2 linked regions of the Arabidopsis thaliana genome follow. The protein of the gene in region 1 interacts with the protein of each later gene in a pairwise test. Each region holds a gene or a part of one and is shown on either strand. Other genes may lie near its edges.

What was found.
Region 2: the proteins of AT1G75180 (region 1) and AT2G07749 interact in a protein complementation assay, tested with the Arabidopsis thaliana proteins (one large-scale study listed by BioGRID).

Annotation. Positions count from the first base shown.
Region 1 is NC_003070.9:28,204,105-28,220,636, reverse strand, and holds AT1G75180 (Erythronate-4-phosphate dehydrogenase family protein), read left to right. Parts: upstream 1-1,835; 5' UTR 1,836-2,263; intron 2,264-2,306; exon of another isoform or gene 2,307-2,490; intron 2,491-2,628; 5' UTR 2,629-2,725; coding exon 2,726-3,442; coding exon of another isoform or gene 3,443-3,538; exon of another isoform or gene 3,539-3,850; coding exon of another isoform or gene 3,851-3,865; exon of another isoform or gene 3,866-4,256; coding exon 4,257-4,487; 3' UTR 4,488-4,801; downstream 4,802-16,532. Other genes in the region: AT1G75190 (uncharacterized protein), read right to left, coding at 644-1,039; AT1G75170 (Sec14p-like phosphatidylinositol transfer family protein), read right to left, coding at 4,951-5,250, 5,379-5,624, 5,709-5,807, 5,890-6,066, 6,164-6,232; AT1G75160 (DUF620 family protein (DUF620)), read right to left, coding at 9,013-9,498, 9,958-10,314, 10,759-11,103; AT1G75150 (DNA ligase-like protein), read left to right, coding at 12,125-12,766, 12,874-12,928, 13,016-13,115, 13,205-13,412, 13,755-13,894, 14,151-14,757, 14,904-15,006, 15,108-15,160 and 3 more.
Region 2 is NC_003071.7:3,234,254-3,250,008, forward strand, and holds AT2G07749 (Mitovirus RNA-dependent RNA polymerase), read left to right. Parts: upstream 1-12,980; coding exon 12,981-13,721; 3' UTR 13,722-15,104; downstream 15,105-15,755. Other genes in the region: ABCI5 (Cytochrome C assembly protein), read right to left, coding at 5,440-6,210; AT2G07773 (cytochrome B/B6 protein), read right to left, coding at 6,585-7,406; AT2G07655 (uncharacterized protein), read left to right, coding at 11,070-11,231, 11,306-11,730, 11,860-11,950; AT2G07776 (uncharacterized protein), read right to left, coding at 11,784-12,113.

The sequences.
Region 1 (16,532 bases):
TAGACAGTTTCAATCCTTTGATAGGTTTCGATGTTTTGGGAATGTTTTTGAAGATGAGTTCGCACGTGAAGGCCTTGCAGGGCCAACAATGTCTTGTATTAAAATAGTATATCAACGTGGACTCGTCGAGTCTCTTTCTCTCACTGCTCCAAGATTAATTAGTTGTACAACTTTAATCGACAATTACAGCTATTTGGTTAAAAGATTTTAATAATAGACAGGTTTCTTCTTTCACCAGCAATATCCATTAGTTTCTTAACTTATCCGTTCCACCATGTGCGATGGTACCTTTTATCATTTATCGTATAAAAATTCGAAAGGGACGTAACCATCCATCAACTACGCAACCAATAAATTAAACAACCTACTACAACTAAAACAATAACCCTAAACAGCTTTCTCATGAAACAATTCATTTAATTTAGTCTTCACCATCATATATGTTTTAAAGTTATTTTGATGCACCAAAATAACACTAAGATCAACAAGATTTGTTTCTTGTTTTGAACTAACAAATCCAAAAATCAATTGTTTTTTTTTCTTCCCATGAGAGTTTCAATTAATTTATAATCCAACAATAGTTAAATCCAAAAACACACACAAAAACAAAAACTCCATTAATTAATGATACGGTAATTAAAGTTTACCAGCTCTTCACCGGCGTGCTTTTCCTCCTCGACCGTCTAGACGACGGCGGTGGAACCACTACCTTGACCGTCATCTCCGGCTTCTCCTCCTCCTCTAACTCTTCATGTTTCATCTTTTGCTCCTTTTCCATACTACCACTACTGCTCCTAACTTTCTTCTTCAGCTTCTCTCTGTTAATAACCACCTCAGCTTCTTCGTCTTCTTCTTCTTCGTCCTCGTACTCTTCGTAATCCTCGTCTTCCTCAGATTCTTCCTTCTTGAAATCTTCTGGGTTCTCAAGATTCTTCCTTGGCCTTCCTCTTCGTCTCCTTGTAGCCTGAGACTCCGTCGGAGATGAAGCTTCTGCTACTGACGACGTTTCCTTTGCTTTCTGAAACCTTCTCTTCCCCATCAGTTTACTTTATTCAACAGAATAATATTTTTCTTGAACAGCTTGTCTGATTTTTAATATCTTCAAGAGCAATAAAATTTTCTTTTATGTTTTACAGACAGAAACAAAAACAACAGTCTTTAAAAACCAAAAGCCGCCCATTTCTTTGGTGTTTAGATAAAATATCAGAAGAAAAAGTAGATTTTATTTTTGTCCGTTGGTTATCTCTTCTCTATTATCCACCAATATAATACAAGTATGACATATATATCCTTGGAGTTAGGGTTCATATACAGTCTACGTTCTAGACATTATAGAAGAAGTATATCTTTAAATCTAGTATGCAAGACTATTGCCACCACGGCACCACCTAACCACGACCCGGTTGGTAGCTACAATCTGTGTGTGAGGTTTGAGGTCTTGACATAAACTTCATTTCACAACAAACCCATAATGATGACATTCATATAAGATGAATTTATATAATTCGATACTAATTGAAAACCGACCTATATCGATCATGTGAGGTTCGAACCGTGACATTCTCTATACTGTTGAACAATGAATAGTTGAATTTTGAATACAATGAATAAGATCACAATGTGAGAGTGAGATCAATTAACAGAAAAACGGCACGATGTTCACTAATCCTTAAGAAATGGAGTAAATTTAAAAGCCCAATAAAGGCCCAATACTTACTGTTTAGAAAAACCAACAACAAAATGAGCGTCGTTTTAGATGAACACAACCGACGCGGTGTGTCTCGTAAACAGCGAATGGTTTTGTTTTGTTGGTAAAGGGATAAGATCACGTGATCAGAAAGTCAGAAGAGCCCATCTTCTTCTTCCTCTTGGTTCTTGCCTCTCTCTTCTCGTTGGATATCATAAAAAGACAATTCTATCGAGTTCCCATCACTATTCCCGATTTCTGATTTATTTTTCCCTTTCACTGTAGATCCTTTTTTCCGACTCACACACTTTCGATATTTTCTTTTGTTTTCTTCAAAAAAGACATATTTTTTTTGCTGGGACTATCAATTGGGGTCCGTCGCCACGCCACGCGCCGAGCTCGCAATATATCGAAAGCAACGATCTAGGAAGGATCTTAAAAATCCTACTTGGCCACAAATTTTTGCTATTTTTATTATTTTCCGTGTTTAATTTCTGATTCAGACAGGAAGATTAATATTAAGCACTAGTTGTGCAAATTCACAATTTTTTTTTGTGGATGGAAACAAATTTCTGGGTGAGCTTCCCTTTCCTTTTTTTTGCTTTCTTTCTCTCCTTTCTTCTCTCCGGATTTTTCTAGGTTTTCAATTTTTGTTTTACCTTCAAAGGTTGTTCCTTTGTGATATAAAAATATAGTTTTCACCTTCTTTCAATCTCTGCGGTTTCTAAATAGAACATTGGAGAGATTTGTTTCTGCATCTGTAAATTTTGATTTCTTTGACCATCTCTCTGTTTTTGTGGCAAGTGAGTAAAGTTTCAATCTTGACCTTTCTTTCTTTCTTTCATTAGTTATGATTTTTGCTTCTTTTATTGCCTTAAATTTCCCCATTTTGGGAATGAATGTTTCTCACGTTATTCTCATTGATTCCAATTTTTCTGCAGCACACGTATTCCAATCCAAATCGACAATATACGCGTCTCTGATGGATATGTTTTGGATTCAGTGAGAAACAGAGATTGATTTTGGTTTTCTTTAATCATGGTGGAGCCTTATGAGACACGTAACAACGGTGAAGCATCCCAGATGATCAGATATCAGAGTTATAACCATCACAATTCCAGACTACCATCTTCATTATCATCGCCATTGCTTGATTTGAGAGTGTTCTATGTCAGAATCAGTAATTTCAAGGTGGATCATTCGACACCTGAGGTTCTCACCATTACTCATATTCCTTTGGATCCAGATTCACTTCTGGAGATTAATGGTGTTAGAATGAGCATGTACTCTGAAGGAGTTTCTTCTCAGCTTAGGCGTGATCGTGTTGATAAGAAATCTGAAGTTGCTACTTTTATCAGCACGGATAATATCAGGTTATCTGGTAGTGTGAAGTTTGAGGTTTATGATAAAGATGAGCTGGTTTTGTCTGGAACGCTTGAGATGTCTGGTAGTAATGGTTTCACTGGTGAATCTAAGCATAGCGTGAAGCGGTGGAACATGAATTGTGAAGCTGAGATCACTGCAGAGTCTGGTTTCTTGAAGGAGAAACATATTGGTGGTTCGGAGTTATCTTCTCCATTGCCAACTATTGAAGTCTATGTCACTGGCTGCTTTTCTGGAACTCCTATCATCCTAACGAAGACTCTACAGCTTGGTTTCAGAAAGAAGCACGGTAGAGTGACTGCATTAGATTCGATTCCCGAGTATGAAACTGATGAGCCTCATAAAGGAAACTCATCTGAGCTTGATTATCAGGTAACTTTTAATTGCTTGGTACTTCATTTTTTCAAGATTATTATAATGCTTCCGAATAGTTTTATATTGATTGAATGCTTTGAATGCTTTTCCTAAGATATGAGTCTTCATGGTCACTATTGGCTGTATGAGCATTAAGTTTTTCATGGTTTTGAGATTTCATAGTTTGAGTCTTTGAGACATGTTTCTTGGTAGTTGGTACTCTAAGGAAGATAATTCCTTTAGATATTGAAGTGGACCAACTTCGTTATAAATGATCATGTGAGGTATGGGGCCAGCCACATTTTACAAGTCAATAGATAGCTCTCGCCCTCTCTCTCTCTATCTCTCACTCACACTCTCTCTCTCCCATTTGCCTCTTGTCTTGTGATCTTAATATCTGAATTCTTATCCTTTTGCCTGCTACAGTCAGTTCTAAGGTGACTTATTGGTTGGAATATCGTGGTTTTCACATGTAATGCTACAGTATATTATCTTTAATTTATGCATAGACTGATTTGGGAAACGTTGCCCTGTTTAAGAGTCAATGTTAAGAATAGCTTATGCTTGAAGTTTTAATTGGAGGCTCTTGCAGTTGACAGTGTCAATACCTATTGGAGATAGATCTTCATACTCACCGTAGATTATTTAACTATAGTGCAATGTCTATATCTTCGACCATTAGCCTCTATTCTACATTTGAAAGAGTTTATAAGATTGGAACAAAAAGACCATTAGCGTAATTGCATGACGATTGTATTCTTTCTCTGACTATCGCTATGAATGTCTCTTAATTATTTTTCTTTGTTAAGTATGGGAGTTAATTTCTGTGCAGGTTACTGAATATGGAAGTTATAAACAAGAATATGAAGGAGAACACAGCGACATGTACTGGAATAGAGAGTACGCAGATGGTGAAGATGGTGAGATGTCGTGGTTCAACGCTGGTGTGAGGGTTGGTGTGGGAATTGGTCTTGGTGTCTGTGTAGGTCTTGGCATTGGGGTTGGCCTTCTGGTGCGTACCTATCAATCGACCACCAGAAACTTCAGAAGGAGGATTATCTAGTTTCATTCAAATTGCCTCAAGCTTCATCTACTCTCTCCCTCTAACTCCAATCCGTTGCACATCACTTTTGACTGCAGAACTCTAAGCTATATAGTCTAAGCTAATACTGCTGTGTAGTATAATTTTTGTTTTATGTACTTTTTAATCTCTTTGTGCCTTCAAATTTTGAAAGAAATCATTTTCCCTTCTTCTTGTGTTTGGTGAGATTCAGATTGAAAGAAACAAAGCTTGTTGCTGGTAATGCGAATCTTGTTTTCTGCTTCCTGTAAATAAAATGCTTATGAGTGTAAAGAGTTTTTGGATTCGCTTACAAGCCTTGCAAGAGTTACTAATACACACAAACCCTCTTTATTTTAATCAAATGCTATGTCTAAATCATACAACCTCTCTACTTAGCATCAAGAGCTAAGGTTAGTCCATTTCAAAAGGGTTGGTTTTAATAATACATTGCCTTCAGAACCAGTCAAGGGTGGTTTTGGATTGGCTCAGGGGCAATCTCAGCTCCAGAAAACCCGTTGCTCGCGTGCAGCTGGTTATTGTTACTGTGACCCAATCCCCAAAAGTTAGCAGTTTTAACATCGTCTTGGTTCATTTGCTTGGAGAACTCTTCATAGTTATACTGCAACAAAGCTTTCCCTCCAAATTCGGTTGGGAGATTTTCCTCGTCGAAAAATGTGCTCATAAGCTCCACGCTTTCCGAGTTCTTTGGGTAAACAAACTTCACCTTGACGAATGTCTTTGCATCAATGAAGTACTTCACAATCTGTGGAACAACACATAATTAAAGAAAAAATGAAAATGCCATCATGTTCCTGCACATACAGACGAACAAAACACAAACAAAGTTGTCTTGTTGTCTAACTATGAGATAGAAGTATTGTTTTGTCTAACCTTCCAGAACGCCTCAAAGAGTCTTGGAGGATTATAGAGGAAAGCTACAGCTAGTCTCTCAGGGTAGTGATTTTGCAGAATATTAATAGTTTCTCTGGCAGATTTAATAGGCACACTAGTGCTCATTGACCAACCCGTGAAGTCAATAAGCCAAGACATCTGTTCTTGATCCTCTGGCAGATTCAGAATAGCATTCTCAATGAGATACACCAGATGTTTCATCTGGTTCTCCAACGATTTTGTGTTCTACAAAAGTTGTCAATGAAAATGGAAGTTTCAGCTTGTGACCTGAAGTTAACTCATTAACTAAGAAAAATGATGAATAGAAACCTGCAAGCCGGGTCTCAGTATAAGAACCGTTCTTCCATGCCTGTCATGGAATCCAGCTTTGTAAACCTTACCAGTCTCACCTTCACCTGAAACTTCATTCTAATAGAAACCAAGAATTATAAGTTTTGGTTGGATAGGAATTCTCTAAGATTTAGTAGCATGATGCAGTTATGATACATACCCATCGGATTTCCTCGGGTTTAAAACTCGATCTCCATTTGAGCGTCTCCTCGAGCATCTTCTTGGCTTTGCCTACATTCCAATTCCTAGCTTCCAGATATCTCTTCAGACATGCATCTGAACAATACAGTGAATTCCTTCCAGAAAGCTGACCTATGAGAGTCTTAAGCTCTTTCATCTATAATCATAAAAATCAGAAGGCATTATAGCTTCTACGAATCAACTAGGTAATTAAGTGAAATGAAAATCATCAACAAGGCCTTGAAATATTTGACCTTTGCCTCTCTGAGAGCTGCCTCTTTCTGCTCTTGTTCGGTTTGAGAAGAATTCTTCCAGCGAAACATTTTTGAAAATTGCACTTTGGGTCCAATGTATCAAAATCTCTTTACTCTGTGAAAATTAACTACAATGAACAAAAGCCATGTTAATAATTAGCCTAATACTAACAACGGCCGTTAAATCCAAAGCCAAGGTTCATGTGATGCGTGTGACAGGACATCACAGACCAAACATGACTCAACCACCTACTGCTTCATTCAACTGCTTACACAAAACCTCAGAAATTCAAAATCTAGTAAATTTTCAATTCCCAAACATATCGATCAACAAGATTTGCAAAGTTGTTCAAGATCTACTCAAATTTTGGAACACTAGACAAAGGAATTTCCTATAAACTCACTACAAACCCAGAAAGATTCATAATCTACCTACTTTTCTAGTCGTCAGATGTAAAATAAAAATCAAGAGTATGAAATCAAATGAAAGACCCAAACTTTAAAAAGAAGAACGAGGGTAGTACCGAAACAGAGAACGAGGAATAAAGAGAGAACTTTGCAGTGATGAGACAAGTCGGAGAAGAGTCAGCTGAAGAAAAGTTGAAACTGATTTCATGAAAAGAGTTGCGAGAAGAAAAGTAAAGACATTCACCTAACGCTTGCAGTTCAGACAAGTGGACAACAACAGAGACAGCGATTAAAATTATATTTTAAGGTAACTGAACGGTACGGCACGCCACGTGAGATTCACGTATACTTGATTCTGCATACTCCACGTGTCAATTGCCTTAGAGGCCATAGAATTTTGAAAGCAAGGCCCAAGGAATCAAAAATACATGTTTATTTCGAAATCTATCCAAGTCCAATTCACACATAAATATTGGTATGGCCACAATTATATGATTATTTAGAGCACCACTATTGGTGTATTTAGATGTATCTTTGGCTAATATCTAAAAAATAAATTTTGAAAAATAAATCAAAACAGATTAAAAACTAAGATTTGCTTCTTAGCTAAGAAGTTTTTATGAATGAAAAAAATACTAGATTCTTAAGTAAAACTAAAATTTTGAAAAAATTTTAAAAACTAAGATTTGCTTTTTAGTTTAAGTAATTGTTAAGATACAAGATTAAGAACCAATGGATTCTTAACCTTTGGGGACGGTCTTATACACTATGAGAAATATGCGATTACAACAAATGGAAGGTACGAAAGATAAACACAACTTACAATAGAAAACTAAATTATTACATTCCAAACTATCTCTTAACATTCAACTGGAGTTTGAAGAGAAACAATCTAAAGCGACATCTAAACCATGGCCATGAAGACACGCTGTGCACAACGATGAATCGAAAGAGTCGAAAACACCTTTCCTCCAAATCTTGAGAAGTACGACCCCTTTAAAATACTACAATCTGGCAAAACTCGAATGCAACTTATTTAACGACAATAAAAGTTGGAAGGAGGTGTTGCGACTTTCTTTTGTAGTTAACACGAGGATTCCTAAAGTTCTAAGTCAACAGTTTACAATGAAACCGACATGTCCCAATTTTCAGATAATTTCAAGAATTCCGCAATCTCCATTGTGTTATAGAAATGGTTGTCAAGTAATTGGAAGGATTGGTTGAAATTTTGATTGAAAAAAAGGTGTCATTCAACATAAAATCCTACCAATACCTGCAAATATTAAACTTCCGATCTTTTGATGGTTACTAATACATGATATAAAAAAACAGGTTCTTAATATTGATAGTAAGCTCAGAAGGTTGCACAATCATTTCAAAGATTGAATAATCTCATAAGTCCAGACATATATATTAGCAACATCATCATCGCAACCAAAGAGAAAATGTAATAAGATCAAATACTCAGAGAAGCTACATAGTAGCGATGGCAGACAATCTACACGGCATCAATTCAGACCGCCCGTCTGCTAATATCTCATCATTGTTTTGATAAACAACAACAACAAAAAAAAACTAAGATTCGAATTATGGCATCAGATAATAAGCGGAGATGTTTTGTCAACACTGTTCATCAGTGGTTAAGCATAAATTAATCAATTCTTCATTTGCCAATAATCAAAAATTAAAAAACAAGAAGAAACTAAAACAATATAGGTCGATTCATTTGACGCCAAAGCTACAGAAAAAAGCAATGGGTTGGTAAGATAACCTAATTCGATATAAGCATCCGTTCTAACTCCTCTACCATACTTTGTGATTTTTACTCTACAAGTAATAGAGGAGTGGGTAAATCAAACAGATGCATCTACTAAACCCAATCAAAATCGAAATCAAAACCAAAACAGAGCATAACAAACTACAAGAGTCAATCGATATTCGAACAAATTCTAGATACCAGAGGCGATGCAAACGAAGAAGAATAACTGCGGAGGAATAGATCGGTTGTTGTTTATGAATTGAGATTTGTCAGGATTTATATAGCGGAGCATGTTTTTGTTATCTCGCAATCTAGGGTTTCCCTCTTAACGGACTTACGTCGGTATTATCTTAGTGGGCTATGTAGTGAAATGATTGGCCCATTTTCGGTTGGTCCATTGGGATTATTTTTTCAAAAAAAATTTTGAACTAATGAAACTCATAAAATCATTATGGAAATTTCCAATTGAGTCACAAAAATAAATAAAAACGAAAGTGCTAATGACAATTGAAATATATTTAAAACATTAGTTTACAGTACACCACCATCTCAAAATTACATATTTACTCCTTTTGTTACAAATCCACGGTAGGTGTGTATAAGAGACCTATTTAAACCTCAACAAAAAAAAAAAACATCTAGAAGAAAAAGATAGACTATTGTAACGATTTCTCCATCGTGCCTAATGATCATTGTTGATATCCGACGGTGGTAAAAAGCTCTCCAAACACAATCCACAAATATTGAAATCCACCTCCTCGATACGCCATTTCTCCTCTATTCTTCTCCGGTGATTAACAGCTCCACCGTAGCGGTAGAGTGTGGTCACGGTTTGACCACCATGAGCAATGTTGACTGCGTCAACGAATATGTAATCGTCGATGATGGACTCCATACTTGTCTCCCAAAAAACGCCGTCGTTTTTGCCTCTTCCGGATTTGACTCTCACGAGTTTTGTGTCACCGAACTTTACGAGAAGTCCGGTTCGTTGGCTGAAGTAACCCCATACCGTGTGGTGGATCACCTCCGTGTTTGGTGAGCATTGTGCTTTGAGAATATCTGACGGTGTTTCTACTTTTAAGACGAAACAGTCTTCACCGTTAACGGGTTGTTCACCGATGCAAACGGCGTCTAAGAACAAACTCGCTGTGCATCTCGGGTCTAGTCCCTGCCACGTCATTCAACAGATGAAAAATGTCAAAAGGTCAATCTTTAGTCATGGTAAGTTTATATTTTTTTAAGGCAAAAATTGCTAATAATATGAGATAGGATTTATTAGCAATCGAGATTTTGTAACAATGTTAATCAAAATTTGCTAATAACAATTTTGTAACAATTAAAATTTGCTAACAATCAAAATTTTGTATTTCTTGGTGTATATCATTGCTAGGATTTATTTTTTTAATGGTGTTATGAACATTTTGACTGGTTTCCTCTCTGGCTTAGTTCTAATTTACTACTAAATTAGTACTTTATAAGTTTATAACTCACAAGAGTGCTCCCATGTTTGAACATGGAATATGATAGGGCGATCAAAACCACTATACTACAAATTTTGTCATTTTTGTTAAGTTTAATCGTAAAATAGTCGATAATATGCATTGAAAGGTTAAAAATGCATGGGCACCTGAAAAAATCGGCGGAGAGGACGAGGAGGACCACGGTGGGCCTGAGAAGGTTGAGTAGAGGATTGGTTCCAAGCCACTTTGCCGTCACTACCAGCGCTAATCTTGAAACCGGAAACCACTAGCTCCAAGAACCAAAGATTTGGATTCTTTTGCCATAAAACAAAACCTCCGACCTCGAAACTGCCTTTACCAAGTCGCACCGGCGTACCCGTCCCTTCGTCCTCTCCAGCAACCATCTCGGAGCCTTGCATCCTTACTTGCCCCACCGCGTACATACTTTTCACTGCGTTCAAAGCCGTTGGACCTCCGCACGCTGCCACGTACTGTTGCACTATGTATTTAGCCGTCGACGCCTCCTTCAAATACACCATTACTATCAACATTCCACATAATAGGTTTGCTTTCTACTTAGACGAACGTAAATTGTATGATAACTTGTTTCATACGAACAAAAAAAAGAAGATAAAATGTTTATCCTATAAAACTTTTTTTATTTTTGAACTATTTGTTTTGATCAAAAAAAAAAGAACTATTTGTTATCTCATAAAGAAATTGAGGGCTAATAATCGCTACACATTCCATCTCTATACATTTTTCTCTTTTTGAAATTGGAAAATTTTAGTAGTCTTCTAATCCTCCCATGGTTTATAGAATCATTGAAAATTGTGCCATTCAAAACATTAAGAATAACGAACCAAAATTAAAACTGCAAGTGAAAGACTTGAATTCTAACCTATAACCCCACTTCATCAAAAGGTTAAACAAAAATCAATAGATTGAATTAATGATAAGATACGTACGATGGAAGTGTCGTTGATTGGTCGGGATAGACAAAACTCGAGCGGGACATGAAAAGGAATAAGAGGACTTCCTACGATTTTCAACAAGGCCACAAACTCGTTGTCTGATTTTGACTGCAAATGCATGTTGACATTACTCATCGATGACGATGACGCCGGCGTTCTTACATCAGTCGCCACCGCGGTCACAACGGCGTGTGCCTTCATGAGAGCGTGCATATTCCTCCACCGCCCTTGGGCGTTGCTTCCCATCTTTGTAAACATTTCTTCCGGCACCGGAACCTCTAACACCGTCTCTAACCCGTCTTCTCTGTCCAAATTTGGACAAAGCTTCCTCATTTTCATTTATAATTTTTTTTTTTTTCTTGTTGATGATCCGAGAGAAAGAGGGGATTAGGGTTTTCCTCTTTCTCCGAAATTTTATTACGGGAGAGAGATCGATAGATTTTAGAGAATCATGAGGATTAACTACGAAAAAAAAAAAACTATTCTTGTTTTTTTCTTCTCAATTTTCTGTTAGCCGGCTCTTATTAACTAGGGTGCTCCTTGCTCGTAGCTATCGTGAGAACACGATTTCAGGAGGATCCATCTAATCTATCTCATCTCTCTATGTGTAATTTATATAATCTTATATATACTGATGTGACATAATCATGGATTTACACTTAGAAATATCTATAAAACGTTGACAAAATATGTATATTAATTTGCATACGAATATTTGGATACGTTACATTGTGGTCGTGTACTACATATATACGTGGAACACTTATAGTAGTAGTACTCGAGGAATCATATCTAATATATACAATCGGAGTGGTTAGGTGGGAGACCAACTGTGTAACCGAGTCTCCTACGCAATTAGCTCTAGTTGTTATTGTTTTTTTGTTTATAGTCAGCAACACATATTATACAAGTTTAAATTTTTATGTGCTATAAATCAAACGATATTAGTAATATGTGCTAAATTTGTTATTATATCATCAATTATCCGTGTTCGAAATTATGATTTATTCAAAATGGCTTTAGCTTTTATATTTGAATCATAATGGTATAAATAATCATTTTACGATATTTTTACAAAATTGTAAATTAACGAAACAATTATCCCCTATCATATTGCATATATATATTTTTAATCTTAGTTTCTAATTTTTGTTTTTGACGGAATTGCATAGCGAAGAAAGCTCACCTTTTTTTTTCAACGTAAAATAGAGGCGCCAAAATTCGAATTGTTTGGCGCGTAAATCCTCAAGCAAATTATTCATTTTCACCCTTTTGGCACTGACTTGTCTTCTTCCAAACGAACAGAAACATTGGGCACCGTAAGATTCTCTCCAATTTTGTCCGGCGATTACAATCGAAGATGATGAACGATGATCAGCTTTCTCCTATTGGAGAATCGAGTGTCCCAGTTCCTAACAGGATGCTAAGACGATTGAAGAAAGCTAAATTGATCTCCGATTCATGTCCTGGATCTGAAACCTTCGATTCCGAAAACCCCGACGGCGAGGATCTGGGTAAGTCTGAATTGCAGTCTGCGAAGGGTTGCGATGGGATTGAGGAAGAAGATGGGGTTCCATCTGATCTCGACGGTTTGGGTGTAGAGGATGGAGTTACCGCGAGGAAGGTACTTGATTTTGATTATGTGCCTGAGTTTAATCAGACGATCGAAGATCTGGGCGAGAAAAGTGGAAGCGAAATCTCTGATTCGGAAACAAGAGATGAAATTAGGGTTTCTGAAACGACGGAATCTGAAAAGGAGGATCCGGATTTCGAGACGACTGTGCATGAATTTGATTCCCCAATGGAGGAATTGGGTGAGAAAGGTGAAGACGAAGAGGAAATTAGGGTTCCGGAAACGAAGGAAGCTGGAAAGAAGCGACCAATTGTGGAGACACGTGATGGAGAGGGAAAGGAGAGAAAGAGAGATAAGAAGAGGAAGAAGAAGAGTGATGACTTTGATGAGCTGCCAGTCTCTACTGCTTCCATGAACATGACTAAGAAGGTAGCTCTCTCTATTTCTTACTAGTTTCATTTTGAGTTAACATTATTCGTTTGTGTGTTTCCTTCTCCTGTGTTTAATTGGTGTTACTGTTCTTCGTTCGTCTGTAGGAAAGAAGGGAATATCTTGATCAGCTTCGTGCAGAAAACCAGAGACTCTTGCGAGGTATGATACTCTCAAAACACTCTTCAGTGCTCATTTCAACGTTTTGCAGGGAACTGAAAATTGTTTGTGTTTTTCTTTTCATGATAGAAACGAGAGATGCTGCCTTTGAAGCAGCCCCTCTTGTCCGAAAGCCGATTTCATCTGTCTTGGAGAAAATTCGCAGAAGAAAAGAAGAGATTTCAAAACAGTGAGTTTGCTATATTCCCTTACTACTTTCCCTTATAATCTCTTTTCTTAGTAACCGTGTTTGTGTGTTATCATTTGTGTTGTTGGCAGATTCCTTAGTAGGAAGAAGTCCAAATCTATTGACATATGCGACCGGGATGATTTTGAAGATGTTGTAGCTGAAGAGATGAATGAAGATATGAATTTAACAAGCAAGCAAAATTCTGCAGGACAGCATTGCTCGGAGGACTCTGCAGGTCCGTCGGAGAACTCAGACAGTCCCTCTAAAAGAGAAGCTGAAAGTAACCCTACTCATCAGGTGAGCCAACTCATGTGTTGATACTTTAGATCTTTGCACAATAGGAAGTTGTTTTCTGTTTTTGTTGATTTAGTTTTGGATTTTGAGGTCCTTAATCAAAGTTTTGTGATATTTGAATTCTTCTCGAGAGTCCAGACTTAGTATAAAGTTCAAACATTTGAAGATTAAAACCTGTAACTATATATACCTACATTTCCATTATGTTAACCCCATCTGCAGATAATTTGAATGGCTCATTTCGTTTCCACGTTACAAATGCTAAATTTATGCTGTGGTTCAAAGGCTAGTTTGTAAATTCAGGTTTCAAGCTGACTCTCTCAGTTTTTTTCCTTTTTTGGTTAGGATCCATCCGTGTGTCCACAAACGATTAACTCTGGAGATGAACTTCTTGAGAAGATGTCAAGCAGATCTTTGGAAGAAGTAATGACACCGTCGGTAGTTGCCATGAACCTCAAACTAAACCTGTCTCCTGTGCCTGACAAGTGAGTCTATCTTTAGATGTGGTTACATGCGAAAACTGAATTGACTATAACTTTGATTTGCTCGTCTATCTAATATTGGCAAGCTTCTCAAAACGCAGTCTTTACATGTTCATAAGAATATTATGGACAGATGTTACTTTCAGTATATGAATAGCTTGTGTTCTGTGATATGACCAGAAGAGCCAATTGTTTCTGTAATGTTAAGTTATACTGTGTATACTTTGCTTTCCATGCAATAACTAATCCACATCTGCAGATCTTCCGAAGAAGCAGAGTACATAAAGGGAAATTCTGATCCGGAGATCCATGATTCTCCTGGCGACCCTGTTAGAAAATTTATTGATGAGGATGCTGAAGAGGAAGATGACAGTGACAATGATTTACTCCGATTTGAGGATGAGGATGATGACGAAGATGAAGACGATGATGATCTCAGGGATATGATTGTCAGTCAATTTAAGGAAGATCCAACTGATAAAGATAGACGTAATGAACTGCATCAGAAGTGGCTCGAGCAACAAGATGCTGCAGGGACAGAGAAACTCTTACAGAAGCTTAAACGTGGTGTGCAGCATGATGAAACATTATTGTCTGAAGATGAAGATGACGATGTTGATGATGATGATGAAGAGAGGCCTGAAGGTGCTGATGGTGAAGAAGTGCAAAAACCTGAAGCCAATGAAGATGAAGATGAAGATGAAGATGAAGAAGATCCAAGTCATGCAAATTCCATGCGAATGACCATAAAGAAAATAAAGGAAATGATCCCTTTAATGTTCACAGATGAAGATGATGTTTATGTGTCATCAGACGATGAGGAAATGGAAAAGAAGCTTCTGCAACAGCGACTGTACAAGAAAATGGTAAGTGATCCCGGTTCAATAGCCCTGTCTGCTCCATATTTTATCATTTGATCCACCATACCTCTCTATATAGTAAAGATTGAAAAGCTTGTTTGATGTTTCGCTTGTGCTGCCCCATTAATATGGATCATTGTTGTTTGGAACAGGAGCTAAAGGCCAAGTCTTCATCATCCACTGCGGATGAAAACTCTGAAGAAATTCTTCGCCACATCAAGAAGCCTGAGATCAAGAAGAAAGCAAAACCTTCTTGTAAGATACCACCCAAGTTTCTCCCTGTATTTGTAATCATCAGCTGAGTTTATACACACATTGCTGATTGCTTCTAACCATTTTGTTTAAATTGTTTTCAGCTTTTAAAGAGAGGGCACTCATGGAAATAAACAAAAACCCTGCAGCATCCAAGGTATAAGCCTTCTTCAGTTACTTTCGTATACCAATAAAGTTCGTAGATACTAGATAGGTCACACTTTGAGACTTCTTAAAAATAGGACAATGAATTGCAACTTTACTAATGCCGTGAATCTTTTGCAGTCATCGTTCTTGGGTAGACTTACAAAGAGTTCCATATCAGAAGGATCTCGCAAGCGCGGTTCAAATGTTGTACGTGGCTATATATTCGAACGCGATGACAGTAACAGCAAAAGCTCAAATTCAGTGGCAGAGGAACCTTCAGTTCCAGAGACGGTAAAGCTCTTCCCTATATAAACATACACATTTCTGGTACACATATTTAAATACCTTCTTAATAACCTATGCAGATTATTCAAGAAAAAAGCCGACCAAAAAGAGCTCCAGCAAAATTCACTGCCTCACAGTCACAAGAGAGATCAACAACATTACAGGCGACGGTGGTGGAGAAGGAGACGAGCACGAGGCAACGATCAACCTTGTACGAGATTCTAAAGATGTCATCAAAGAAAACTTCCTTCAATTCACGCGAGACAATGATAAGCAGCAACCACACTGAGTCTATATTTGCTGCTTTCAAACTGGATAAGAAACCAGTTAAGACAAATCCACAAGTAAACTCCCTCTTCCTCTAATTGAATGTTATTCTTGTATAATCAGATCTCCATTTCTCCAAGTAAAATGGAATATTTAACAGGAAAAGAGATGAATTCAGAGATTTTGTCTTGCACAGTTGCAATGCAACGGCACGTGTGGTGAATGAACGTGAATCACTGGATCGTGACCCTTTTTGTTAACATGTGGCCACCAAAACGGCGTAGGACCGCGCGTTTTGGCCTTTATCTGATCAGACTCAGTCTCGATTCTCAAGTACATAGGTTGGTTGCTGTAACTACAGAGACTTTAGCGAGAGATTAGATCGTCCGTCTTAGTCATTCGAATCTTTTCTTAGAGATTGAGATCAGAATTTTCTATTCAAAGTTTTGTTTTATATATTCAATGTCTACACTATACTATTTCTTTATAATGGATAGGATTCTATTCAAGAATCATTCAACTAACATCCATTAAAGCAAACAGTTTTTATCACATGTTGTAATTTACTGAATAAATATCTTAACCTGGTGACTTTTCTTTCATCCCAAAGATTAAAATCGTAAGGATATATCTCCTTTCTTCCCCTTAAGCTTCGTTGAGACTGAAGAAGAAGACCAGAGACTATAGAGTTTCGGACACAAAAAGATCTCAAATCAGACAACTTTATTTTATTACTCTTAGCTCAACGTTGTTTGACTTACAAAAGAAAATCTCAGATAGATTCTGACCGGATAAATCGTCTTCCTTCCAGATCCGAATTTCTCCATCTC
Region 2 (15,755 bases), on another chromosome or scaffold:
TATGGAAAAAAAAAATGAAAAGAACTGAATATCAATTGTAAACATTTTATTAATTCGCTGATAAACTGATTCCAGTAGCTCCCTCAATTCCAATATGCCCTGTGTTGTGAATAGCTTGAATCTGTTCACAAATGTTAAAAAAATAGATTATCTATATTATTAACATATCACGATTATAAGAATTTTTTGACTGTGTTTACCTTGTAGAAATGTCTCTTGCAATGCTTAGTCTTACAGATTCTGAAACACTTCTTTGAACACCACGTTCATTGTTTCCTTCTGTGGGTTCCCTTCTTTGTCCACAATGAGGATTTTCAATCCTTTCTTTGAAGTGACCCTTGAGATAGCAACGTAGAGTTGTCCATGCGAAAAACATGGCCTGGGAAGATAGATGCCAACGTTCTTTAAAGACTGTCCCTGGCTTTTATTAATGGTCATTGCAAACGCAACTGTTATTGGAAGTTGTCTTCGACGCATTTTAAAAGGGAGTTTACTGTCCGAGAGAGATATCAATATCCTGGGAAGGAGGACTTTATGTCCAACTCTATCACCTGTAATGATGACAGCCTCAATAATTTTATCACACATTTGTGTTATTTGCAACCTCGTGCCATTCATTAAGCCTCCTTTTGGATCTAGGTTTCTTAGCAACATCACAGGACAACCGACTTTCAACCTTATACCATGATTTGGTAAACCAGATACCTTTAGACTGTTCAAGAATTCTGATGTTAACACTGGATTATTGGTACCTCCAATGTCAGAAGGATCTACAGAATCAGAACTTAGGTATAATTGTTCCTCACCTACACATAATATGACAATAAAATTAACCGCTTATCTAGTACGAAAGCCTTAAAAACATTTAACCATGTTTGAATACTAACCTTCGAGTTGATCAAGCATATAATTGTTGATCATACAAACGTCTTCATTGGTTGGACATAAAATCGGTCTCTCTTGAAAGAAAACCGGATCATTTTTTTCTTTCAATAACTTAGGATCTCCATAAACTTCCCTGCTTATTGCTTCAATTGGATTATCAGCGTACTTGATTAAAAACTCGTCGGGTATGTTAATCATCACTTCTCCATCATTTGGTAGTGCTATCTTACCATCACCAACAACTAAAATCCACTCTGAAAATTCCTTTAAATCCTTCGCTTCACTTGGACTCAAATCATTTGAAAACAGCCGCATATTTTTGGTCAGCTTGAGAACTTTGCAATGATTCCAAATATAAGAAGCATTAAGAGCAGCCATGCAAATCTCTGCCCTACCAGCACCAGGTATAACAGGTAGTACCTGCCTGAAATCACCACCAAAAACAACTACTTTTCCACCAAAAGGTTTTTTCCCAACACCTCCTATAATATCAGACAAACTCCTATCCAAAGATTCAAAACAATGCCTACTCATCATGGGAGCTTCATCCCAAATAATCAAAGACGCTTCTTTCAACAATTCGGCTTGATTTGAGCCACGCTCAATATTACATACAGTGAAATCGTCAGGATTAATTGGAATACCAAATCGAGAGTGCGCTGTCCTCCCACCAGCTAACAATAGAGAAGCAATCCCACTTGAAGCAACGTTAAGCACAATTGAACCTCTAGATCTTAGTGAAGCTGAAAGTGTCTTATATATAAAAGTTTTTCCAGTCCCACCAAAACCATAGACAAAGAATACACCTCCAGTGTCATTGTCAACTGCCTCAATGATCTCAGAATACACACTCTTTTGCTCATCTGTCATCTTCTGCAACGATTCTTCAAATTTATCCCTCTGTTCATTCCGATTATAGTTTCTTTCGTCAAGTATCAAAAGATTACTATCATCATCATCTTCTTCTGGTAATTGTGGCATTGTCTTGAAAGCTGTTAGAGATGTTCCATTGCTTCGTAAGATACTGTTGATTTCCTTTAAAGCAAACATCTGTTTTTGCTCATCAAACAATATTAGTTCTGCAGACGAATATAACATGACATGGCAACAATCAATAATCAAACCAATAAAATGTAAAGATCTATATAGAACATATATCTGTAAAATACAAAATTATGGTACCTGGTCAGTCAAAGTACTCTCTCCTTTTTCTTTCTATATCTTCTGATAGGTGTTCCCAAGTTTTTTCCCAAACAACTTCTGGTTGAGAAAAGCTTGTAGACTGGAGCATTACAACAAACAACAACGCAAATAGTTTCCAGTTGCCTAGAAACTGGTTCTTATTATGTCATCAATATACTCCTGGTCATCATCTAGAAAACCCAAAGCAAAACATGTCTGCTTGAAGGATTTATAAACCACACCATTAACTGTTTTTAGATCATCAAAACTCTCAGGTCCAGTTTGTGTGTTGAGAAACACTCTTAAATAATAACCTTCTTCATAAAAAGGTGGAACATAATTTATCCTTCCAATCGTATTCCCTGGTCGCTTTCTTTGATTGAAAGTTTTTGCTGTACCATCCCAGGTAAAATACTCTGGAATCTGAGTATATGTGAGATCTTTGGCTGTAGGACACCGTTTATTCAATTCAAACCAAGCCAGAAACATTGAATTTTGTAGTTCTGAACGCTTCAAAACGTGTTGTACCTCATCATCACCTTTAAAAAACAGAAGTTGTTTCCCTGGTAGGTGAAAGGATAACCTCTGAACGGATGTTGACCGGTAATGTATAGGATTTTTCAGAATTCTCCAACCAGCTTCACATGCTGATACATATCTGGTTAAAAAAACACAAAACATGTTAGAAAAATATGTCTAATCTAGATATAGCTACTAAGTAAAAGATATGTTTAATACCTGCAATCAAAGAAATCTTGAATTTCATCCTGAATTGTTTTTCCACTACTTGAGCTTGTAGACTTCTCTTTAGAATTTGTAATCTTCGTAGGCTCATCATGAGGCTGAACAACAACTGCTACACGATCCATCCCTTTAGTGATATACTTGAATAAGTACTTGATGGATCCTGTTTAGTTACACCACTCAACATTAATATGAGCCCTGTATCGAAGCGACAACTTTTTGTTATAAGGAATGACATATCCGTTATCAAACTTAAAACCACACTTCTCCACAAAGTGTTTTGTCTTTCGTCTTCTAAGGCGATATCACCTCATTCGTGAGATTATTGGTAGAGGTGATGTGAAGATTAGCAGAGTTTCAACGGATGCAAATGTTGCTGGTCCTATTACCAAACCTCTTCCGCAGCCGAAGCATGAGAGTCATACTGCTTCGATTGGCATTAGATCTATAAAGATGTGATATTATTTCTAGTGGGAGATTTTTTCTTTTATGATATGATGTTCATATTAAAATACATTTGGATTTAATTTCAAATTAATGAAATTCGTTTCAGTATTATTTATTTATTTGATAATTAAATAACAGTCCCAAAAAATTGATATCATTCTTATAGGTCATCAAGTACGTGACTTGATCATGAAACCCTGTAAGTGGAAAATGACATATATTATTGAAGTCCCTAGTCAAGGTTATGAAAATGGGACATTAATAACTGGGAATGACTAGTATGTGAGGTGACTGATGACTAAGTTTCATGGAGTCATTAATATGTGGTATTAAAGTCAATCACATATATATGTGTTAGAGAACACAATATTGGATTGACCCGTTATGAGGACTCTACAAGATTGTTATATGAGTGTCATAAGAGTTTCTCATCACAACTATAGAGTATAGTCCTTTGACCTGAGTTCGTCATGATTTCTTACTCATGGATTAGTTCGCTTTGACTCTTTCAAACGTCAGCCATAAAAGGTGATTATATAGACAGTGATTGGGCGCGTTATGAATTGTTTAAGGAACAGGGATGGAACAAGATGGAATTTGTCCCTCCCATATAACGGGAGATAAATATCTTTGGGCCTATCGAAGATTTGATACTGAAAAATGCGTGGCCGCGCTCAAACAAGGTGAATGTCAGTCGTTTGTTTTATCAGTATAAATTGGAGTTCGATAAACATGGTCTAGCTGAATAAGGATGACAATTTCTTGCCTTATGCTGAGATCGAGATATAGAGACAAAGGGATTATGGGAATAGATGATTCCAGTACAAGTGGGAGATTGTTGGGAATGTCCTGAAATCAGTTGTACTTTATTCTAGTTAAAGTTGTAATGTCGAGGTTTGACATTTGTATAATATTACGTGGTTATAATATTTTGCAAGAGACCGCTTATAATCTATGAGTCAGAACTCATTGCTAATATTATACAAACCTACAGGGTCATACACTTAAGCAAATTGGATCAATTAAAAGAGTTATTGGGCTTTTGCCCATTATTAACCCTAATTGGTTAGGGTTAAACGTTTGGCTGTATATATGATATATTAGCAACTTTTGTGAGATACACTTTTGATCACAAGAACCCTAAAATAAAGAGACAAAGAGTTGTCTAAAGTTTTGAGTTTAGATCTCAAAGGAACTAGCATTCCAGATCTGATCTAGTTTGTGTGCGTGTGGATACCGGTAGAGGCACAACACTTGGGGTGCTAAAATAATCTCGAGATAATATGATTCACCTTTCCCCTTCAGAATATCCAGGTATATTCAAACGCCAAGATCTAGATTTGATTATTTATTTACACAGTTTCTGGCAATTGAATTCGTTGTTACTTGTTAGTATTTATAAATTGTTATAAATCGGTACGAATTCCTTCAGATGATGCTTTAGAGAAAGAGGATAAACTTCGGTCCGCTTTTAACCAGGTTCAAGTGCTTGAGCATGAGTTAATTATATGAGACCAAAAAGGTAATCCTCCCTTCCCTTTACCTTTAAATGAAAGCTTTCACCCTCTCCCTCATCTGCATCCAAACCGGAGCGACTTTGTTCAATCGCTTTTGCACTTTTTTCTCTGCCTGGCAGGCTTTTCATAGTTCACGACCCCTGTTGAGTAGGGTCGGTATAGGTAAGGCAATCGATTCAAAAGTAGACTGAGAGTGGAGGTTTAGAATAACCTAAGGCGTACTGTAGAAGGAAAGAAAGGTAAGCAATCCCAGACCCAATAGGGCTACCTTTCTTCGACTGAGACCTATCTGCTTCATTCCCGAGTTTCACTTCACTTGGACACAGCCAAAGAAAAAGGGGGGCTTGATCCACCGCTTTCAAGTCCAGTTAAATTAGAGAACTCCTTTTTAGAAGAATAGGATAGAATCTTCCGAATCAGTCCTACTATGGTTGGACCAAGGTCATTTCGACTCTCTAGACTTTCTTGCTTCTTTCCATCCTGAGAAGTAGATCCTTTGGACCTTTTCTTTCCTGTTGAACGAGTGGATGTTTTGAACGAGTGTTGAGCGAGTGAAATGCCCCATAAGCTATAAGGGCGAGCTATCTCTTTAGATTCTGTGAGCTGCGATTGAACTGAACGTTCCAAGTGCATCCAGCAGGAATCGAACCTACTTGCCTCTTTATTAGGTTGGGCGCTTTAACCATTCAGCCATGGATGCAAAGAGAGCGAGTGAACTAGGTTTTGGTATTCCTTCTCGAGCTTCAATTTCTTCCGTTATAGGAGATTCGAGAAAAGATGGAATAGGAAGACGTGTTTCCAGAACAAACAAGATACGGGTTGAGAAGGGGAAGTTAGCAAAGTTAGACAAGATTGGAATGGGCATAGGAACATGTATTGATGTACCAGATCGGCTAATGCTCCCAGGTTGATGCGATGTATTCCACCAGTTGACTGAAGACTTTATTATTGGTATATCGATCGGTCCAGCACGAATTGAAATAGAAGCCGGTTCGACAGGAAGCTTTTGAAAACGCAGTGCACCCAGGTAAATAAGAAACGAGATGAATACAGAGGTCAAACGAGCATCCCACACCCAAAAGGTCCCCCACATTGGTCTTCCCCGAAACCCCCCAGTAACTAAGGTAAACAACGTAAAAAAAGCACCCATTTCTATACCGGTTCCGGAAGAGCGAAGATAAAGGGGATGTTTTGTTAATAGGAACAAGAAAGTGTTTATAGCCGTGGCGATATAAACAATAATACTCATCCGAGCCGCAGGAACATGTACATAGAGAATACGAGAATTTCCACCTTGTTGAAGATCTAGTGGTGCTACCCCAAGACTTAAATGAATAGCCATCGCTGTTAAGAACAACCAAGACCCAATGAGAATTTGCGCGTAGCTTCTGGTCTTTGACATCAAAAAAGAAGGTTGTAATAACGAAACGGACATGTGCAAATTTTGTCCTAGCTAGTGGAACAAGAAAGACATGGATCTATAATACGCAATCAAAGGATTTCCCCCAACGAATAATTCCCCCTCCCCTGCTTTGTTTGTTTTCGCTCTGCTTGTGCGTGGCACTCCTTGCTGGCGGAGCGGCGCATAGCGAAAAAAAGAAAAAAGGAAACTCACCACCAAAAGATCAGTCCAATAATCCCACTCACTGGTAAATAGCGCAATACTTCTTCGTGAATCTCCGCTATTTGAATATGGAACATCATAACAACGAAAAGGAATGAAACGGCTATAGCTCCTATATGAACTACCGGGAAGATCATAGCGAAGAAGTCGAGACCTAACAAAAGACGTAAACCTGAAATGGCGGTTTAGTCGTCGGAATCGCTTTTATTTATGTCGTAGTCAGACAGCAATTCCAGTAGCTCCACCCAAAACTTGTCTCCGTTTTTTCCTAACCGGGAATAAAGATAGTAGAATCTTTTCTTACGCCGATCGATATCGATCATTTCATGTTCAGTCATCACAACATTTATTGCTCGTTCTATATCCCGTTCATCCGGAATATGGTAACCTTCGGATACTAAGAGTTCATGTGTTTTTGCTATTATTTTTGCCTTGATTTTTTCGCATTTATCACTCTCTGCTTTTACTTGCTCCCCGATGGTATCTGTGTTTTGATCCTCTACCTCGAGGTTCAAGAAAAGGCGTTTTGAGCCACTTTCCTTGTACTCTTTCGACCAGAAAGGTGAACCCCTCTGCTGATCGTGAGAGTGCTCATTCTCATGAGCATAATATCCTTCTAAAAGACCACCCTCAGATGGATTTGTCGGGGGCATTGGCGTATTTCCTCCTCCTAGTCCTCCGGATACCACCGGGTAGAACTGAGAAATGGCACGACTTAAGTCGTCCATCCACAAGTATCCTACAGCAAATAAAGATTTACAGAGAATAACTGAAATAACATAAAACCAAATCAGTTGCCATTTTTTGGAAAGTTTGTTTATAATAGGAAGCGAACAAAAGGAATCTAAAAGGACTTTTATGCTGCAAAAGACTGGGATGGGAAACAAAACAGAATGTACAAAACGGATAATACGTGTAACCAGCAAACCAAAGACCAAAACTTCAGTACGGTCCGTGCGCCGTTTTTCTTCTCTACCATGACGAATCAATTGATTAAACGTGGGCATTATTCTCTTTCCTTTCTTTTTCCCCCCATTTTGTGCCCTATCACTTTACTCCCGATCCGAAGCACCCCTTTTCCATTCATATAGAAATCCAATCGTCAAAATAAATAAAAAGAGTCCATCATGGACCAAAATCTGCCCGAGACAAAGCTGAGCTGTCAAATAAGACCAACAAGGGATAAGATAGGGAGGCTCCTCTAAAGCTGGAACCTCTTCCAACCCCAGCACGGCTCTTCCCCGTCGACTCCTCGTACGCGTATCACAGGGGCAAACACGCCTTCAAAACATCTGGATCATACAAACTTCTCATTCAGTGGAAAAAACCTTACCAAGACTAGTTGCCTCAACGAATTGATATGCTTTTGCTTTTTGTGACACCGGCGCGAATGCTGAATACGGAGGAATACAATGAAATCAGAACAAAGCAGGTAGACCAAGCTAGCTTACAGAATTCGAGGAATTCAAACTCAGAATAAGCTCTTTTATTAGCACGTTTGGTAGCCAGAAAGGAAAGAGGTTCTCATTCACAGTGCCTTCTCCTTCTGTGATCACTGATCAAAAGGACATTCATTCAGTAAGGGATTGATCCTCAAAGTGGTTCTTTTAGCACAATGAATTACTTATCTTATAATGAATTACTTATCTTATATAGTAGTGTAACCTTCTCTTCGTACAAAAAAGCCTATTCTGAAAGCCGTCTTTCAATGCCTGTACCCTAGGGCGAGCTAGGTTCAAGGGTACGCACCTAGTAGCTGCGAGCCTAAGATTAAAGGCAAGTTCCCTTGGTTCGGCACGCTTTCACTCAGTATGATAGGCTACGGTCAGATTCGCTCGGTCTAGGTATCACCTTGATGCGCGTAGTTATTGCCTTGATCCCTTTCCTTTGCTCGGGTCATTCCATTGCCTAAAAAAGTGAGCCTGGATCTTCGGAGAAAGGATTTTAGAGCTCTGTGGAGAAAGTCTTGAAATATTGGATGCTTTCTTTCGTGGTTAGGCGGGCATGGCATCAACTCTGTATAGGTGGGTTGGCCCGGCCGGCCAAAGCTAGATATAGATCGGTTGGCACTGGATCTGCTGGATAGAGGTAGCGGCACAGACAGCTACGGATGGATAGAATTACGTCAGCTTGTCGGGTCAGTAGATATGCCCAGGATCCATTTTGACTAGAAATGAAATGGTACAGAGAAGCGCAGTGAGCGGTAGCAACCATTGACTACTCGGGCCGGGCCTTGCAGCCAGAAAATGGGACTCGATCAGCTCAGCCCATTGACTCTTTTATGGGGAACTATTAGAGACCTAGGAAAGTCAAGATGCCACCGGGGCGTAGAAAGAAAAAGGCTTCTTCGGCATGATAGCTCTGCTCTGTCGGATAATATGAGCCCCTTATGGAACAGCTCACTCCGGGGTGATTCTGGTTTAGTCATAGAATACAGTAAATCCATGCGTTTGTCTTCGCCTTTTCGGAAGACCAAGACAGCTAGACGATAGATTAACCAAAGCCATAAAGAGAAGATCGATATCGCACAGAAATCCTGGATCTATCAAAAAAGCCCGCCAAAGGTGTCCTCACATGAAATCATGAAAAGGATCCGAGCCCATCAAAGACTCTACTACATGAAAGGATCTGAATCTATCCAAATAGCTGTGGCCCATGATCCAAGGGACCCGCAACCAGTCAATCATGCTATCCTTACCTTCCAACCAATCGGAAAAAATTACGTTCAATTCAGGATCGAATACATCTTTGGCTTATGAGTTATGCGTTTTCTCTTCTTGGCACTTTATGTCTGCTAGTGCATAATCATGCTTATGGAAATAGTGGAGGTTGAGCAGTTTCCCTGATGAAGAGAACTCTCCTTCTCTAAACAAGCTTGCCTGTGGGCGTCGAGTAAGAGCATCTGGGAATTGATCTTTTACGAGACAGCCCGGAGTTGGTCTCGTGGCTAGGTCTTTAACCGAACCGGTTCGGAATAGAAAGTCTCGGTCAATGAAGTGGAGTGGGCTGAAACAGAAAGTTGGGTATTGTATTTTTATGCTCGCTTGGCCGGAATCCCCTATAGTGCTTTTCGGGCGAAGTGACGGATTACTTTTTGAGTGACTACCCTCAGTCTTTCAGAGCCTCGGGATAAGCTGTTCTTGTTTCATAAGCAAATGTGGCAACCTGGTGGTATAGTGAGCTCTCTCTCTGGATTAAGCTTCGGTCATTGATAGAGAGGAATCACCTAGCCTAGCATTAGACTCGACTAGCTAGCCTTCCTTGGGCGGATTGCTTTGAATAGCGTAGTTTTCTTAGCTCCGGGGACTGCCTTATCTACACTATGAGAAATGTTAGATGCAACCATTATAGTATAGATATATTCTTAGATGATTACTATATGTGATTTCTTTCATACAGTCTTAACAAATATAGAGATCTTCACCATAGGAGACTAGCTTGAACTAAATCCTCCAACCTTAAAGCAGTATGAGAGAGGACGGATACCAGAAAGAATCACCTCGGAGCCGCTATGCCACTATGAGAAACGTTATACTATAGATAGACATGAGATGATATTCTATAAGGAATACAATGTTTGAAAAGCAAGAATAGATAGAGTTGAAAGAAAGGCGCTCGTATAGAGCCCTCGACTATGTATCGGACATATGGCAGGTTGGGAAAGCGCGCTTGGAAAAGAAAGACTATCCTCGAGGTAAATGTAAATCAATCTATCTCGCATTGCCCAATCTGAATGCTAAAGGCTCGTAACCCCCTAAAAGGAAACTCACCACCAAAAGAAAAAGGTAGGTTAACTAACGAAACTCAAAACTACATTTTAATTCTTGCTCACCGATAATCCTTTATAAAAAATATTATACAGCTGTATACAGGATTATTGGTATAGCTGTCCACTAGCCGAAAATCGGACACCAAATTATTGTAGACTGACGACCTGTCCTTAATAGAACCGATCTGACTCTCTGAACAATCGGAATTTCGTACTTCTGTCGGATCCTCCCTATCTCCTGATCGAGCTTGTGTAGGTAGATGTTGCCTGGTAGGGCCGATAGTAGTACACTGTGTGGGACGGAGTAAGGGCCCCTCTCAACTCCTACGAGTCGTCCGGCGGAAAAGACTTTCTGAATGGAGTAAAAGAACTTGGGATCGTCGATCTCTTCCTTCAAAATTTGGATGAGTCGATGTCGGTCGATGGTGTGAAAACACTTCCTGATGTCGAATTCTAAAAACCAGCGAGAGATTCCCCACTCTTCTTTGATCCGTCTTAGGACCGAGTGGCAGCCTTGACCCGAGCGGAAATGCGATGTGTCTGGAAACTCGGGATCGTAAATGGATTCGAGTACCATTCTGATCGCCTCTTTCATGATCTTTTCTATAGGTAGAACTACTGTGAGCGGTCTAAACTTCAACCCTTCTTTCTTTCTTCATATTGTAAAGGGGGGAAAAGCTCGTTTTTTGCTCCCCTTTTTTATAATCAAAGGCCCCCTCCTGCCGTCGTTTCAGTGACTCATAGGGCTTCCCTCAGTTCAGTCTTTTTGGTTCTTGAAAATGGTCGCCACCTCTCCTCTTCTTTCAGTCGATGGGGTTCCTCTCCTTTTAGTCGAGTAATCAATACCTCTCCCAGGACCGGAATGATTATCCCTGCCCGATGGGTCTACATCCATCCCTGAATGTCGTCGGGTACTGTTCACTTCCCCGCCATTCTTGTAACCGTCACCTGTAATCCGCGCGGGTGTGTCCGCACCCCCCTGAGTGGACGAGAAAGAAAGGATTTCTCGGAGCAACCCCCCAGGTTCCAGACCCAGGAGTCAACTTTCCCGTATGAGCATTCGGTACATGTATCAGTCCGTGGGAAGAGGTGAAAGGGTCACCACTACTGAGGATCTCCCCCCCCCCCTAATCTTAGATAGGTCGTCTGAGGGTTCGCCGCGGTTCATTGCTGTGCTTACACACAAGGCTACCCTTCTCCGAAAGCTACGCGGGACCACCTACCACTAGTCTTCGGCCGGAGGGGTTTATTGCACAAAAACGGCCGGGACGCAGGCTCCCGAAGAGGGAAGCCCAACGAATGTCAGATGCAAAGTTCCGCACCTCATTAAGATCATATTGGCATACTCTCCCAAAAAAAAAAGAGCAGACCCCATTGAAGACGAGAGTAAGGTACAACAAGGCCATTTCTGTCCACCGCCCTTCTCACGGAACCGTACGTGGACGTTACCGCTCATACAGCTCCCAGCCAGCAAGCACAGTTAGCCTTCCTCTACAAGAAATGGAAATGTGGATGAATCGAATGAAATCGAGGAATTCGGTTTTTCTTTTCAGACATGATAAGTAAGAGCATCCCTTTCACAAAAACCTACGGATCCCCCTCCTATCCTGCCACTTCAGCACCTTGTGATCTTTGAGAAGATCATTACGAGCCCTTTCCTAGAATGTTTTTGTAGATTCCGAAAATTCCAGAGTGGATCAGGACGAGAATGAATCCGGGAATCCAGGGCATACTCATCCTGGAGCTTCCGCTCTCCTCTGGGAAGGGCTTTTTTATGGATAGAGAGATGAGTCGAGGGATTGATTACTCGACTAAAAGGAGAGGGTAGCCTCCCGTTTGACCGATTTCTCGGAGTCGGAAGAAGATCTCTCATCTGATGACCCTGAACAAGAAGGAGCTGCTCTCGATGTGAGATCAGCAGCAAAAGAAAGAAGAAAAGGGCCATGATGATGATCCTATGTTCGTTTTCGCCCTGCCCCTATGATGCGCTCCTAGCTCGCAGAGCATAAGTCAGCGCAAAGGAGAGATACATCCTTTAAGACTGTGAAGAGAATCCTTGGTTTGACCTACGGACTACGTGGGAAATACGAGATCTAGGCAAGCCGCTACATGTTCTCCCCCTTGCCCTTGAACGATAGAAGAACTACTTATCTTCTCTTAGATAGCAGTCGATCGGTTCTATGATCTATGGTCAATCAATAGGCCCACGGATCTATTCTTCTATACGATAAATTGCCATCTCGTAGCACCACAGCCTGGGGGTAAGACTAGAAGAGGAGATTTGCTTGGTCTTCTGTGCGGAATCTGCTTCCTAATCAGTGTAGCTCTTGGGTCAGCTCACAGCTAGGACGTCATCAGTTCTAAAGGATTCCTCACTAGGGAGACTCTCTCCTTATGGGCAAGGGAGGCAGATTTTGATGGGGAGAAGGATTCGGAATATAGTTACATAAGTCCCCTTCCCTCTCCTCAATATAGTTTCACTCGAGTCACGTCAGTACCTCTCCTTTTAGTCGCTCGTCGAGACCTCATCAACTAGTTAATACCTCCGGACCTCTCCTTTATCAGTCGAGTTTGTGTTCACAACCTCTCGAGAAACAAGTTCGAGAGTTACGTACTTTCAATGCTCTCTCTATTCCTTGCTAATCAAGGCCTGCAAGGGAACTGGCTACGACTATAGGCGGGACGACATGCTTTTAGCTTCCCTGAAATAGGCGACTTGCTCGCTTTGGCAGGAAGTATTTTTTTTGAAGAATTGAACAAAAAAAACTGAAATTTCTGTAAATCATTAAAACGGGACTTTCTTTAAAGAAAAATGGTCTCTCAAGACGGTACCTTCCATCAAGAAGGTCCTATCCATCGTCTGGCAAAGAGACGCCCAAGATTTATAGCAAGTTTTGACTTGAGCGCTGCCACCGATCGGTGGCCCGTTCCAGTCATATATGAGCTTATGGCGTGCCTTTTCGGTCAAACGATGGCATCGTGCATTGTCAATGGTGCCTTAGCACTCAACTCATGCTCTTTGAAGTCCGTTACTGGACGGCATGACGAAGTTGTGTTTGTTGCAGGTCAACCTTTGGGTTATTACGGCTCCTGGGCTCTATTCGCGTTGTCCCACCATGCTATTGTGTGGTTGGCAGCATTACGAGCATATCCTCATCAGACGAGACCATTTCTCGACTACGCTTTGTTAGGTGATGACATCGTCATTGCCGATCGTAGTGTGGCTAAGGAGTACCGTTCTCTACTTGATGCTTTGCAAGTAGATATATCTGATGCCAAGTCTATTGTATCTGAGACGGGTTGTCTTGAGTTCGCCAAGCGGTTCTGGGTTAAGATAATGTCGAAGGACTTATCCCCAGTATCTGCGAAAGCTGTGCTTGAGAGCTACTTCCTCGTTGGTACTCAGCAGTTGGCCTATAAGTACAAGTTAAGTCCTAAGACTTGTTTAAGGTTAAATAAAGCTGGATACCGCGTGCTAGGACAAATGGACACTACACTAAGGCCCTATCCCGGCGTTTTAGTCGGATTCAGGCGTTATCTAGTAAGCTTTTAGTCGGTCCTGATCGGTTACCACTCGAGTGGTGGATTGGAAGAGGATTACCTCTCAGTCCCTATCTTCGTGGTGTGTTAATTGCAAGGATTCGGGATGGGATGAAGCTTAAGCAGCTCACGCCCCCTCCCTTGGAGATGTTCCTTTGTGGAGAGCCAGAAGCACATATCGCAGAAAACACCGCTTATAGACATTGTATGAACAATGGTGTGAGTACGTGGTATGGTTTGACTTCGTTCCTCGTCGTGCCCCTTCCCACCTAGGAAGAGATACTAACCCGCAGCTGCACTTGGTGCAATCACAGCAGAAAACCCTTCTCCTAGACATTCCTCGGGGGCAGACCACACCACCTCGGAAACAAACAAACAGCACATGCAGCAACAGAGACAGGCGTTCATCGCTCACTTACCTGCATACATCATGACAACTTGTTCCCATCTCACCATGCAGAGGCGCGTAGCGAGTAACAATCCGGTCCATGTGCTGGCTTGGCATGGAAGGCAACCCTTTCTTTTTCGCAGCGCTACGCGCCTCCACATTCAGTGAAGAGATCCCGGACAGGGAAGTCAGAAGGGCAGTTACTCTTCGGACCTAGCGGCCCTGCTTTAGCTGCACTTGGTGGTTCCCCGCTCGGGATTTTATACTGGATTTTTCTTTTAGGGTTAGTGCAAGGTTGGCTTGTGCGAAGTCGACAGGGGTGGTTGAGAAACACGTTTTATTGGGATGGGGCAGCAGGCAATGGATACCGTTCCCCCACCAGAGCCTGCAGTTGGTAGGCCAAATCCCTCTGTCCAAGTGATTGAGTTGAAGCTTTTCAGAGAAAGGGTAATTTCTGAGTGAATCAAGAGAAGATGCTCTAAATGACCAGAATTAGGCGCCCTATCGCTACTTTGTTATCTAAGGTCCCACATCGATCACAAGGTTTTTTTTTCAACGTCTTTGATTATTTACTTTCACTTGCACTACTATGCTATGCTACCACGGGGAAGTTCTAAATGGCGAAAGAGAATCCTTTCAGTCCAGGCACTCAGTGCAGTCCAGACGCTCAGGAGAAGACGGAGGTTAGGAATGCTGATTGGAACCAATACGATTGCCCAGAGGAGCTTTATAGGTATCCAGAGTCCCGCACAAGGAGCAGTTGAGACAGATGCGGAAGAAGGTGCGGCCGAGACGGTTGATAGAGATGATCCGGCAGGCGGAGAGTTTGATTGCGACAGTCCAGCCTTTCATACGAGAAATGGCGGTGACCGTTTGCCCTAAACAAATATCTCAAGATGTAACACATATGCCTTCTCGTAGAGCACTCCCAGAAGCTACCCTGAAGCCTGATCGTGCTTGGAAAAGGCATTTCATTGACCGAACCCGACCCATCCCACCGAGAGTGCGAACTGCTCTTTATTCGCTTCATAGCTGGGCTTTGCATTGGAACCTCTGATTGAGCCCGCGGAGTCGCCTTACTGCTTGAGTGAGTAAGCCATTCAAGATTGTTGAGCTTGGCTCACTTCAGCTTCAGAGCTCTGGCTATTGCTTGCTTAGAGGAGGAAGCAGGCGTGTGGTGCTTCCCGCAATGAAGTGTCTTCCCTTAGATTCCTCTTTATACTCAAGAAGATTAGAAAAACACTCTGTGGAACTGCAAGTGGCGTATTGGAGACTGCACAGCAAGTGGCGTAGTGGAGTGAGCGAGCATCTTATTTGCCCGGATGGAATAGAGGTTTATCCTATTCTCTGTAAACAGAAAAGGAAGTTGTGCTCAATGACTGGAATAAGCTAGTACCATAGATTATTAGCTATGGACTACTCCTTAAGCTAGAGGAGACTTGTTTGTCTGGGATAAATTGTCATTCTAGACCCGATTGGAAAGATTGAATTGAAAGCAAGAACATAGACCTGACGAGAAAGACCCACATTTTGAATATTAACTTATGATAATCAAAGGGAGTCGTGGTTACGGGTAAGGTTAGGAAGGGCGGGAAGGACTTCCTTACTAGAAGAGGATGGTAAGCCATATGTGAAGCTGAGGCAAAGACATTTTATCTT